Ovis aries: one gene and its partners. The protein of the gene in region 3 purifies or fractionates together with the protein of the main gene of each other region. This does not show direct contact. Links are inferred from orthologs where the notes say so. Each region holds a gene or a part of one and is shown on either strand. Other genes may lie near its edges.

The links. Proteins that work in one complex are often made in the same cells at the same time.
Region 1: the proteins of BTK (region 3) and ANKRD54 purify together in Homo sapiens (affinity purification with mass spectrometry; 4 studies listed by BioGRID and IntAct, counting the BioPlex papers as one, with this or other methods). This does not show direct contact. The link is inferred for Ovis aries from reciprocal best matches to the Homo sapiens genes BTK and ANKRD54.
Region 2: the proteins of BTK (region 3) and BLNK purify together in Homo sapiens (affinity purification with western blotting; 5 studies listed by BioGRID and IntAct, with this or other methods). This does not show direct contact. The link is inferred for Ovis aries from reciprocal best matches to the Homo sapiens genes BTK and BLNK.

What each region holds. Positions count from the first base shown.
Region 1 is NC_056056.1:215,473,094-215,476,593, reverse strand, and holds part of ANKRD54 (ankyrin repeat domain-containing protein 54), read left to right. Parts: intron 1-626; coding exon 627-725; intron 726-1,411; coding exon 1,412-1,483; intron 1,484-1,960; coding exon 1,961-2,008; intron 2,009-2,080; coding exon 2,081-2,205; intron 2,206-2,364; coding exon 2,365-2,472; intron 2,473-2,789; coding exon 2,790-2,864; 3' UTR 2,865-3,500. UniProt on the Homo sapiens protein: Plays an important role in regulating intracellular signaling events associated with erythroid terminal differentiation.
Region 2 is NC_056075.1:17,382,649-17,386,148, forward strand, and holds part of BLNK (B-cell linker protein), read right to left. Parts: intron 2,840-3,500; coding exon 2,676-2,839; intron 1-2,675. UniProt on the Homo sapiens protein: Functions as a central linker protein, downstream of the B-cell receptor (BCR), bridging the SYK kinase to a multitude of signaling pathways and regulating biological outcomes of B-cell function and development.
Region 3 is NC_056080.1:133,057,000-133,061,124, forward strand, and holds the start of BTK (tyrosine-protein kinase BTK), read right to left. Parts: upstream 2,801-4,125; 5' UTR 2,670-2,800; intron 1-2,669. UniProt on the Homo sapiens protein: Non-receptor tyrosine kinase indispensable for B lymphocyte development, differentiation and signaling. Binding of antigen to the B-cell antigen receptor (BCR) triggers signaling that ultimately leads to B-cell activation.

The DNA of each region.
Region 1 (3,500 bases), on a different chromosome or scaffold from region 3:
CCAGACTTTTCAGAAAAGGACTTTCATATCCATTATTCTCATCATGGCAGCTCTAGAAGTTGACTGGGCAGAAATTACTCCCATTTGCTGGTGAATGGGGGCCCAAATCTTGGCCTTCCTGGTCCCAGCCCAGCTTTTCCCACTGCTGCACGCTGTTGGCAATGAACTCCTTTCCTTTTTGCTCAGCTCAGTCTAGGACTTGGACTGCATGGCAGAGCCCAGGCTCTGTCCACTCTAAAGGGCTGCCTCATGGGAGCTAAGTGAGTGTCAGCCCACAGACGTGTCCCAGTTGGATGGATGTGTAGCCAGACTCAGGTAAAGGGGCAGGACCAAAATCAGTACTGGGGATTTCCATGACTCCAGAATTCCTGACCCTGAGGGCCGAGATCCTTCTGTGATGCTCTGTCCCAAGACACATACTTGAGCACCCAGCACCCGTGGTGCTCAGTTGTGCCCTCAGGAGAACAAGTCCCCCAGGGGGGGCTGCATCCTGGAGGGACTAGCTCTCCCACACATTATGGATGCCTTGCTGGAAGGGGCCCTAAGCACCCTTGCCCACCCCCAGGGCTGCAGCTTGGCTAAGCCGCCACTCTCCCTGCTTGCTCCCTCTGCCTTGGCGGTGCCAGTGCAGCAGCTCCTGGAGGATGGCGCAGACCCCTGTGCAGCTGACGACAAGGGCCGCACTGCCCTGCACTTTGCCTCCTGCAATGGCAACGACCAGATTGGTGAGTCCTGGGGAGGTAGGGGAGAGGGGCTGGGCGAGTATTCTCCCCCCAGAGGCACTGGGGAACAGCACACAGAGGGTGGGGGGCTGCTGGAGCTGAGGAAGGCTGGGCCCTCCCACGCCTCTGGCCTGTGGAACTGGCACTGCCAGGCTAAGGTGGGGCTCACCTGGGGAAAGAACGAGATCGACCCCAAGGTTGGACCGGACCTTCCAGACATGCAGGCAACATTTACTCAGTGCTAAGGGCAGCAGTGGGACAGCCCGCCCCCAAACCCAATTTTTTTTTCCCCCCAGAGGTCTTTTTAGGATGTGGTATAACTGGCAAACAGTGAAGTCTCTGTATACATACACTGCTGTGTCCACCTCCTGGATCAAAATATAGAATCTTTTCAGTGCCCAGCATTCTGTCTTATGCCCCTTAAGAACCTTCACTAGCAGCCACAGCTGTTGGGAGAACTTTCTTTAACCCTAAAATCTCAGTCCCATAATACCTGCACGGGCTCAGGGACCCTCCCAGAAGCCTTAGTTCACAGTGCCCAGCGTCATGCACACAGGCCTCACGAGTGGGCAAGGGAGTGAAGCTGCACAGGGCAGTGTACTGGCTCTCAGTGTTCCGTAGAGGGGTGGAGGCTAGGATGCTGTCAGTAGACGCCCCCAGCGGCTCCTCTGGGGCTTTCCTGTTTCCAGTGCAGCTGCTTCTGGACCACGGAGCCGACCCCAACCAGCGAGATGGGCTGGGGAACACGCCACTGCACCTGGGTGAGTGCCTGGCAAGCTGCCAAGACAGGCTCCTTTGATGGAGAGCCCGGCGTCCTGCAGGCCCCCAGCAGGCTCTCCTGTCCCCTGGGGAAAGCCTGAGTCCCCAGGGCCACACTCCCCTTGGGCTGTGTCCGTGGCTGACCCCATCCACTATTGGTCGACTGTGCCCCAAGCAGGGCTGATTTCACAACCTGAACTGGCTCAGCAGCTCTGCCAGGGGAGGTTCCTGCCCTGTGGCCAACTCTCACCATGGCTTGTGGCGAGGCGGGTCCCACCTCCCAGCCTCAGTTTCCCCAGCTGTGTAGGGAGGGAGTTGGGTTTGATCGCTGAATCCCCCCAGTTGCTGCCTCAGTGATGCCTCTTGGGGCTTGATCTGGCACCGGAACCCTGAGAGACACAGTCCTGCTCCCTCCCGCGGGCACCCAGGGCCAAGCCCCCTGCGGTCCTGAGCTCTCAGTCCCTGTTCTCCTTCCTCAGCGGCCTGCACCAACCACGCCCCCGTCATCACCACGCTGCTGCGAGGAGGTGAGTGCTCCCCTCCCCGTCCTTCCTCCTCCTCCCCCTGCTCAGCATGCTCACCGCTGCCTGTCCCCCCAGGGGCCCGGGTGGACGCCCTGGACCGAGCAGGCCGCACACCCCTGCACCTGGCTAAGTCCAAGCTCAACATCCTGCAGGAAGGCCACTCGCAATGCCTGGATGCTGTGCGGCTGGAGGTGAAGCAGGTGAGCGCCCCACTCGGCTGAGCCTGCAGCACTGAGCAGGTGACTTCATTCATGGTTCATGTGGACCCCAGCTGACACCTGGTCCAGCGCACCCCTGGGCAGCAGCCTCTGGCTGCTCTGTGCCTGTGGGCACAGCCTCAGCCTGCCCTCTGGTTTCAGATCATCCAGATGCTGAGGGAGTACCTGGAGCGCCTAGGGCGGCATGAGCAGCGGGAGCGGCTAGATGACCTCTGCACCCGCCTCCAGATGACGAGCACCCGCGAGCAGGTGAGCGCGGCTGCGGTCCAAACCCCAGCCTGGCAGGAGCTTCAGGGTGAGCTGGTCGCCACTCTGAGGCTGGAGAGAGAGGCATGGCTGCTGGTTGCCGTCGTCTGTGGGCCTCAAAGCCTCTGTCCACCTCCTTGGAAGCAGCCTGAGTCCTTCTCTCTGGGGCAGCGAGGATTCACCCTTGGACAGCTGCTCCATAGTCCAGGGTGAAGCCCTCACAGGCCCTGTGAGAAGAGACAGTGCCTGCCTCTGCACCTGTGGTGCTGTCGGGGGAGACCCGGGGCACCCCACCACAGAGCCTTGGTTTCCTCCCGCAGGTGGACGAAGTGACCGACCTGCTGGCCAGCTTCACCTCCCTCAGCTTGCAGATGCAGAACATGGAGAAGAGGTAGCGAGAGCCGCTCCCTGCCGTCCCTCCTGCTGCCCGCCCCGCCCCGCCCGCTGCCCTCTTGCTACAAAGAAAAGGCCTGGCACCTGGGACCCCGTCTGCCGAGGCCTCATCCCAGCTGCTGGGAGGCAGAGGCGTTCTCTCACTGACCTCAGCGCCACTCACAGCCGCAGTCTGTCGTGTCCATGGGCCGAGACCACAGCCCCCAGCTTCTTCCTTTGGCTCCCGCAGCAGCACAGCCATGCCTCTGCCCTGGCTGACTTGACACGCGCTCTCCTCACAGGCCTCGCTCATCCCACAGCCTCCCTGGTGCCCTCAGCAGGCCCCAGACCCTCCTCTGAGTCCCCTCCCGGCCGTGGGCTTGTTGCAGCCAGCCGGGTGGGCTTAGGGCAGGCACCCTCTGGCCTAGGGGGCTTCTTGGCTGGCCCTGCACCTCTCACCAGCACTTAGATCAGGCTTGTCACCAGACTTGCAAGGAGACATGGCAGCTACTTTGTTTGGTTTGGAAGGGGCCAGGGGGGTGGTGAAGCCTAGACCTTAGAAATACAAGGTTAGGGAGGACCTTGCTGAACCCAAAGCAGAAAATCCCTGGCCCTTTTTTCCCCAATCACTGAAACACCGGGAGGGAGTAACCTTTCTG
Region 2 (3,500 bases), on a different chromosome or scaffold from region 3:
GGGTTGCTCTGAGGGTGTGATGAGATAATACACACAGAGGGCTCAGATCACCAGCCGATACACAGTGCTTGTCAAGTGCTAGACCCTCCTGTCATTACAGGGCAGTTGCTCCTCCACCCCTCGCCCCAACTCTCTGCTCAGCCTGTAACCCATATTTTGCCTGTAACCTGTATGGCAGAGCTACACACTTTTATTTGTGCTTGTATTTGACTTCTTCCTTTCCTATCTAATGTCTTGGCCAGATCTTAATGTTGTCTTCTATTTCTTTTTTAACTCTTCCTCATCTTGATTGTCCATCTCCTCATTCCAGAATGTATCTCCTCCAGTCGTCCCCTTTCCCCGCTGGTTCAGACTTGCCTGAGCCACCACCAAAAAGCTGTTATTAGCAAAACTCGGCCTATCCCCACTGGGGTCCACCTGCAGTTATTCACAGAAATGGAGAGCCTCACGTAACTCACAGTCTTCATTTGTATTCTGTGTCTGAGTTGGTATCTTCCTATAGACCCTCTGAATGCTGGAAGAATTCACAGTGAGACCCTAACCGATGGTCTCCCTACCGTGTCCCATGCTCAGATTCTCCTTGCCACCTGTTCACACCCTGAAAGGGCATCATCCCCTCGGACTGACAGACAGACTGAGGATTGACAAACCAAATTCATTCTCAGTCTGCTGACCTCCTGACTTAAACTGTCCCTGGAGAGGGGGCTCATAAGCTCAAGTGCTTACAGGCAGGCACGGAATAGCAACTGGGCGTGTGCAGAGTCAGGCTGTGTCCACGCCTTGTGTCAGTGGTGAAGATGATGACAAACGGAAACAGGGGCCGGGGATTCTCAGCTGAGCTGGAAGGGTGCCATGAGGCTCAGCTGCTTCGAGGCCATGACTGGCCATGTGTTGACAGGCCCTTGGTTTTCAGGAGAAACTAGAAAAGTAGATTTTATAAAGAATCTAGAATATGGTAGAAAGGAATCCAGTTTATGCAATACATAGAATGTTTCTTTGTGTGAGACACTGAATTAAGTATTTATATTCCTTTCTTAAATCTTTAAAGGAACCTGAAGAGATGAAAAGATGAGACTCAGAGAGATTATCTGATACCTGCTGCTGCTGCTGCTGCTGCTAAGTCGCTTCAGTCATGTCCAACTCTGTGCGACCCCATAGACAGCAGCCCACTGGGCTCCTCCGTCCCTGGGATTCTCCAGGCAAGAATACTGGAGTGGGTTGCCATTTCCTTCTCCAATGCATGAAAGTGAAAGTGAAGTCGCTCAGTCGTGTCCAACCCTCAGCGACCCCATGGACTGTAGCCTTCCAGGCTCCTCCATCCATGGAATTTTCCAGGCAAGAGTACTGGAGTGGGTTGCCATTGCCTTCTCCATCTGATACCTAAAGTCACACAACTAGTAAATGTGAAGTGGGAATTTGGGCCTGGATGCTGCCTCTATTTTATTTTAAAAGTCTCTCTTTTATGTCTCCTGTTGGGCTACAAATTATGCTAAGGTGGAAAAGAAGGTCATTTCACAGCATGTTTGTAAGCTATAGGTTTTATCACCCATAGGCATTTAGAAACAGTTGCTTCTTCAAGAAGCTGCGGTACCATTATGTCTGGTGATGGTTAAGAGTTGCCTTTAATGTTGTTTTCTTTCTTAGCCTGTTGCACTTGTGTATTCAGTCGCTCAGTCATGTACGACTCTTTGCGACTTCATGGACTGTAGCCCGCTAGGCTCCTCCGTCCATGGGATTTCCCAGGCAAGAATCCGGGAGCGAGTTGCCATTTCCTACTCCAGGGGATCTTCCTGACCCAGGGATCAGACCCACATCTCCTGCATTGGCAGGCGAATTCTTTACCACTGAGCCACCTGGGAAGCCCATTGCACTTGTACAAATGTTCTAAAGGCTAAGTTTGAGGGCTTGTCTTTGACTTTCTTTAAATGCAGTACTTCTGGGAGCCATAACGTATTAGGCTTTATCAGTCATTCTTACAATAGTCCGAATAAGTTCACCCATTCATTTTTTAAAATTTCATAGGGAATAAGACATGAAAAATTTAGGTGCTGGCAGAAGGGATATTGGTAAGATAAACCTAGAAATGGGTCCCAGACAGTTGGCAAAGGAGGTTCCTGGATACCTGGGGCTGGGGAGAGAGAGAGAGAAGCAAGAGATGCCGAAGGAAGTGCGGGGTCAGTTCTTCCACGGGTTGTGCAGGGTCTCCATACAGACAGGGGGTCTCCAGTATACATCCTGTTGCACCCCTCTGCAGCTTAGAGGATCAGAGAGAAAAGAAAGTGGGGGAAAGAACATGAGGCAGGACAGGGAGAGAAGCATGGGAGGATAAAGGTGGGGAAGTATCTTATGGAGGAATGAGAGATTTGCAGGAAACGGAGGGATAAGAAAGAGGAAATAGTGAGAGGGGCACAAATCCAGGTTGGATATTACATCATATACCTGATTAGTACATGAAAGTGCTTAAATAAGGCCATATGTGACATTTTAAGAGAAAACATCCTTTCAGCAGGACAGTGGAGAGTTTCAGGGCAGGTGGTTAGGGCCGGTCAGAGACCCAAGCCTGGAGGAAGGAAGACACATCTGAGGCTACACTGTCCTGCCCCTCCCCTCATCTGGCCCCTGCGTCCAGCCTTCCCCGTGGTCTGGGCAGCCTTCCCCGGACAGATTTACTTTACCTCATCCTCAAGGATCTCTTTGGGTTTGGGTGGGACTTGAGGTTTATGCAGTGAAGTGTTGGCCGGCAGAGAGGTGGCCAGTCTCGCTTTTGCCGAAGGCCAGTTGGGTTTACTGGGAAGAGTCTTGCTGAAGGGTGGAGACTGCCTCTGGCTTGATCGGTTGTCTTGAGAGGAACAGCAAGAACAACAAAACATAAGATGAAAGGGTTCTGGATCATTTCTTGGGCAGAAGCCACCGAGTTCTAGAAAGTAGAAAACTACCAGCATCCATGTAGCCAACATGCTCTTGACTGGGGCATTCCTTTAAAAAGTATGACAGGCAACAATTTCAACAACCCATTGACCTACATTATAAAAACCAGAACAGTATCCTCCCAGGGAGCCATGAAACCCACAGACCCAGGAGAGCTGATAGTCCAAGCATGCGGCTAAATAGAGTAGATGGTGACCTTGGCAGTGTCGGGGGCTAAGGGGAGCAGTAATCCTCAGTGGGTTCACTTTGCTCCCTGAAGCCTTAAGTGTGATGATTCTCAATCCTGCTTACACATAGGAGCCACCTGTGAAAGTGAATGTGTTAGTTGCTAAGTCATGTCTGACTCTTTGTAACTCCATGGACTCTATCTGCCAGGCTCCTCCATCCATAGAATTTTTCCAGACAAGAATACTGGAGTGGATTGCCATTTCCTTCTCCGGGGGACCTTCCTGACTCAGGAATCCAACCTGGGTCTCCCACATTGCAGGCAGACTCTTTACCATATGAGCTACAAGGGAAGCCCCTAGGAACCACCTAGGAGCTTTAAAAAAAATGCCAAGGCCCCACCGCAA
Region 3 (4,125 bases):
TGTGTTTTTCTGACTATATTTGAGATCATATTGCACCTAATATTTAGAGTTTGCTTATTTTTCTTATTCTTATACTTAGATACTTATTACCTAAGTATCCTTCCTTCACCCAACATACGTTGTCCACAAAATATCTAAAGTTCTTGTTTAACATTATTTCAGATGTTTTCCCTTGTTGTTAGGATCTCTATATAAACATCATATGCTGAGTCAAAAAGTTTGTGCCTTTTGCATTTTGAAATATATTGACAAAATAGTTTCCAGAAACACTGTAACTGATTTCCACTCCAAATAGCAGTTTTGGAGAACCTGTTTTTCCATACTTTTGTCTCTTTTCTGCTCCACTTCTAATCAGTTTCTTTTTATTCTGTTTCTATTACAGATAAATACGTAGGAAGGAGTTAATAGACTATAATTCATTTTCATTTTGGGGATGTAAGGCAGCGAGAATAGCTTCTTCTGAAAGTTCAGCTAACTGATGTTAACCCTAAGGGGATGTGGTAATTGCTCACAGAGAGGGAGGTGGAAAGCCTGGGATTAAGGCTTTTGCTTTTCAAATGCTCTCCCAACACCCTCAGCCAGTGCACAAGAACCTCCAGAGAAACCGAAAGTCACACGTGGCCCATTTGTTTCAGGGTCCTCAGAGCATTTCTCTCTCCCCCTCCCCCTGATGGCTTCATTTGCATAACCCAGCAGTTTTGGAGTGAATTAGGTCAAGGTCTGTCTCTAACTTCTTACTGAGCACTGCCTTCCTGAAAATTCTATGTCACTCTTATTCCGAAGGCCTAGCCATCGGATATCGGCATGGCATCCACGGGCAAAAAGCAGCAAGTGTCTGATGACTCTTTGGAGAACATTCAGACTGGTTTTCAAAAGCCATGTCTTCCCCTTATACCTAAGTCACTTCCTGGTATGGGTCTAGTCCGCTGAAAGGAAACTCTCTATAGGAAATTTGCTCAAATGGAAATAGTAGATCATACTGATGATAATTTTAAATTGCACCCAGACCCTAGAAGTGGATGGAAAGTTGCACTAGTTCTCACCATGAGGAGTTTACAAAAGATTCTAAACAAACACATCGCTAGCCATAAGCTACAGGAATTTGGACTTGAAGGCAAGTAGACAGTTTAAGTTGTCTGAAGGGATCAGAATAGACCAGATAGGGCTAACGCTAAGGGATTCCAGTTCAGTAGAACGCTTTAGATTATTTAGGGTATTTGCATCTTGTGGCTTATTTGGTAGGTGACATTTTTAATCAAATAATTGAGGCTCCAAGAGGCCGTAGCACCCTTGGTCAGGGGCTTGGCATGCAAAAGGAGGGAAGGAGCAGAAGCAGCATGTAACTAACAGCACAGAAGATAACCCCTGAGCTGTAGAGCCCTGCCTCTGGGCTTTGCTGCTGCCCTACCTTCGGAAACAGACAACATGAGACAGAGATGTGGAGCTTGGAGAGCAGGGTGACCGGGAAACTGGACTGGAATTCCATTTGGCCCGCACTCACCCAAGGATGTCTTGGTCAGAGCCAGCAATCCTTTTTATTCTAGACGCCACATATTTGTTCTAGGCAGGCCTTTTGGGGACCTTGACAGGTCTCAGGCAGAATACAAATAATAGCAAACACTGAGATAGGCACACTGACTATTGCTGGGCCCCATTTTAACTACTTTACATAGGACACACACCACTCACGACAATCCTATGGGGAAGGCACTAGGCAAGTAGGGGGAAAGGGCAAAGGGAAAACAGCAGGGGAAGAAAGGGGCAAGAAGAATTCACTGAGATTCCCCACGAATTTATTAAGCATTGGCTCTGTTCCGGGGTGGTAATGAACAAAATCAAGGAGGGGATAAAGAAGAGGGGATACAGGTAGAGAAAGGACAAGGAGGAAAAGGAGGAAAAGGGAGAGACAGATGGAGAGGAGAGGAAAGGAGAGAAGCAAATGATGGAGCCTAGAAAAGAAGAGAGCCATGCACATGGCAGGCAATGGTAATAGGAAAAAGCTTCCCCGTGACCTCAGGGGTTGGCCGCACTGTCTGGGCCTCGAGGCCGAGGCTGACTTCTGGCCCGATCTCTTACCCACTGTTACCACGAGGTTGGCATGCACAGTCCTTCCAACAAGGCAGCTCTGATCCCAGCAGTACTGGCCCAATGCAGCCAGAGGCTTTCCACTCTGGTTGAGCCTTTCCGTAGCTTACAGAGCTCAAAAGCATATGCGTTTTGACCAATTTTTTTAGACAATCTGCCTCTTAAAAATTTCTTTTTCCTAAGGTCTCATTGACACACGGATCCATTTGGGGTCTTCTGGCAATATTACCCAAACAGTTAATTTTTATCCTGGCTTATTTAGCCATGGGCATGAAAGCTTACTTTTCTGCCAAATTGTGCAGAGTTGCCTCTTTCCAACATCTGCTACCTGTTCAGATGGTCACCTTATGTCACTTTTTTTTTCTTGTCTCCACCCAACTATGACCTCCCCAGAAAGGACCCTTCCAGCCTCTTCTGATTATCAGAAGGGACTACCAGGGCCTTAGGCGATGACACTCCCACCCTCCATCTGCCTCCTCCTGCCTCAGACTACATGGCACCAGCCACGCTTTCTCTCTGACCTTCAAGGTCCTAGGAAAGGCAGTTACTGCTGCTGTCCAGCCCTTGCCATGCCCCGGACCCACCTCAGTTCTGACTTTAATGCAGGCAGCTCCCCGGATGCATTGAGATGCCGGGACTTGGAAGTCGGGACTCGATGTCAGAAGACACTGGCCCTGGAGACATATTCTTACAGTCCAGAGAGGAAGGACAGTCTGAGCAAACCCCACCCTTTCACAGCCACTCAGTTCCCTTTTTTTGTTTCCTGACTTAAACCAATGTCTTTTTTTTTCTTCTTCTCAGCAGCATGGTATCTGGTTCCCTGCTGCTGTCCTTATTCCACCACCCCCCCACCCGCCCAGCAGTCCCCGCCCTTCATTTGCTTGGGACCTCTGACAGTACTAGTTGAGTCTGCTCTGAAAGAACTCTTCTCTATTTGACTGGGGCCACTGAGACTCTAGACCAGGCTGGGTTGAGCAGACACGTCCTCAGGCTAACCTCCCCAACGTAAAGGGACGACATCGCTAAAGGATCATTGGGATGGTCAACACAGGGAGCGGAGACTTCCAGAAAAGAGGAGAAATGCAGATCTGTGGAGACAAAACAAAGGGACTGGCAAGGGAGTGTGTCTTTAGCGTCTCATGTCCTCTAAGGCAGAGACTTGAGGCCACACAGTTAAACTTGACAATGAAGGATGGAGACTATTGATGAAGGGACCCCAAAGTACAGATCCTGACAGAGGTAGAGACAAGACTTCCCCCTGCTGAGTCATTTTCTAAGAAAGCATTTTTTTTTCTACAGATAAAAATGTCTGAGTGTAAGCCCACACACTGACATGTGTCCTTCCCATTTTTTGTGGATGTTGATTTTCTCCATTTTAGATTCTGCCTCGGGGATTAACTCTTCATTTACAACTTTCTCTTTCGTCTCAAAAAAGATGACTAGATGTGTTGTTTGAAGCCTGAATGTTTCCTCAGCCACCTTCTAGCTCACGTTCTAGCAGAGATCGTCTCCAGGAGGGCTCTCCTAGGACATGCAGATAGTACTGGCTATAGACCATGATGGCCACAGCCCTGGGTAACTGATCTGCTTGCCCATCTTGACACATCAGCCACTGCCATATTTACTTGTCCTAGGCACCATATGTGGGGCTTCCCTGGTAGCTCAGCGGGTAAAGAATCTGCCTGCAATGTAGGAGACCTGGGTTAGATCCCTGGGTTGGGAAGATCTCCTGGAGGAGGGCATGGCAACCCACTACAGTATCCTTGCCTGGAGAATCCCCATGGATGGAGGAGGCTGCTGGGCCATGTGGTTGCAAAGAGTTAGACATGACTGAGTGACTAAGCACAGCACAGCACAGGTGCTATATGCAGAAACAGATCATAAATCCCACTAGAAGTCTGTCAGAATTTTTAAGGGAACAAGACATTTTTCAAAAATATTTGTAGGCTAGTTGACTAGTTAATCCTCAGATCCATACAAGATAAAGGGGCAGCCAGTGTTGCATGATCTATTTTTGTTGACAATTTTTATCCTTTCACT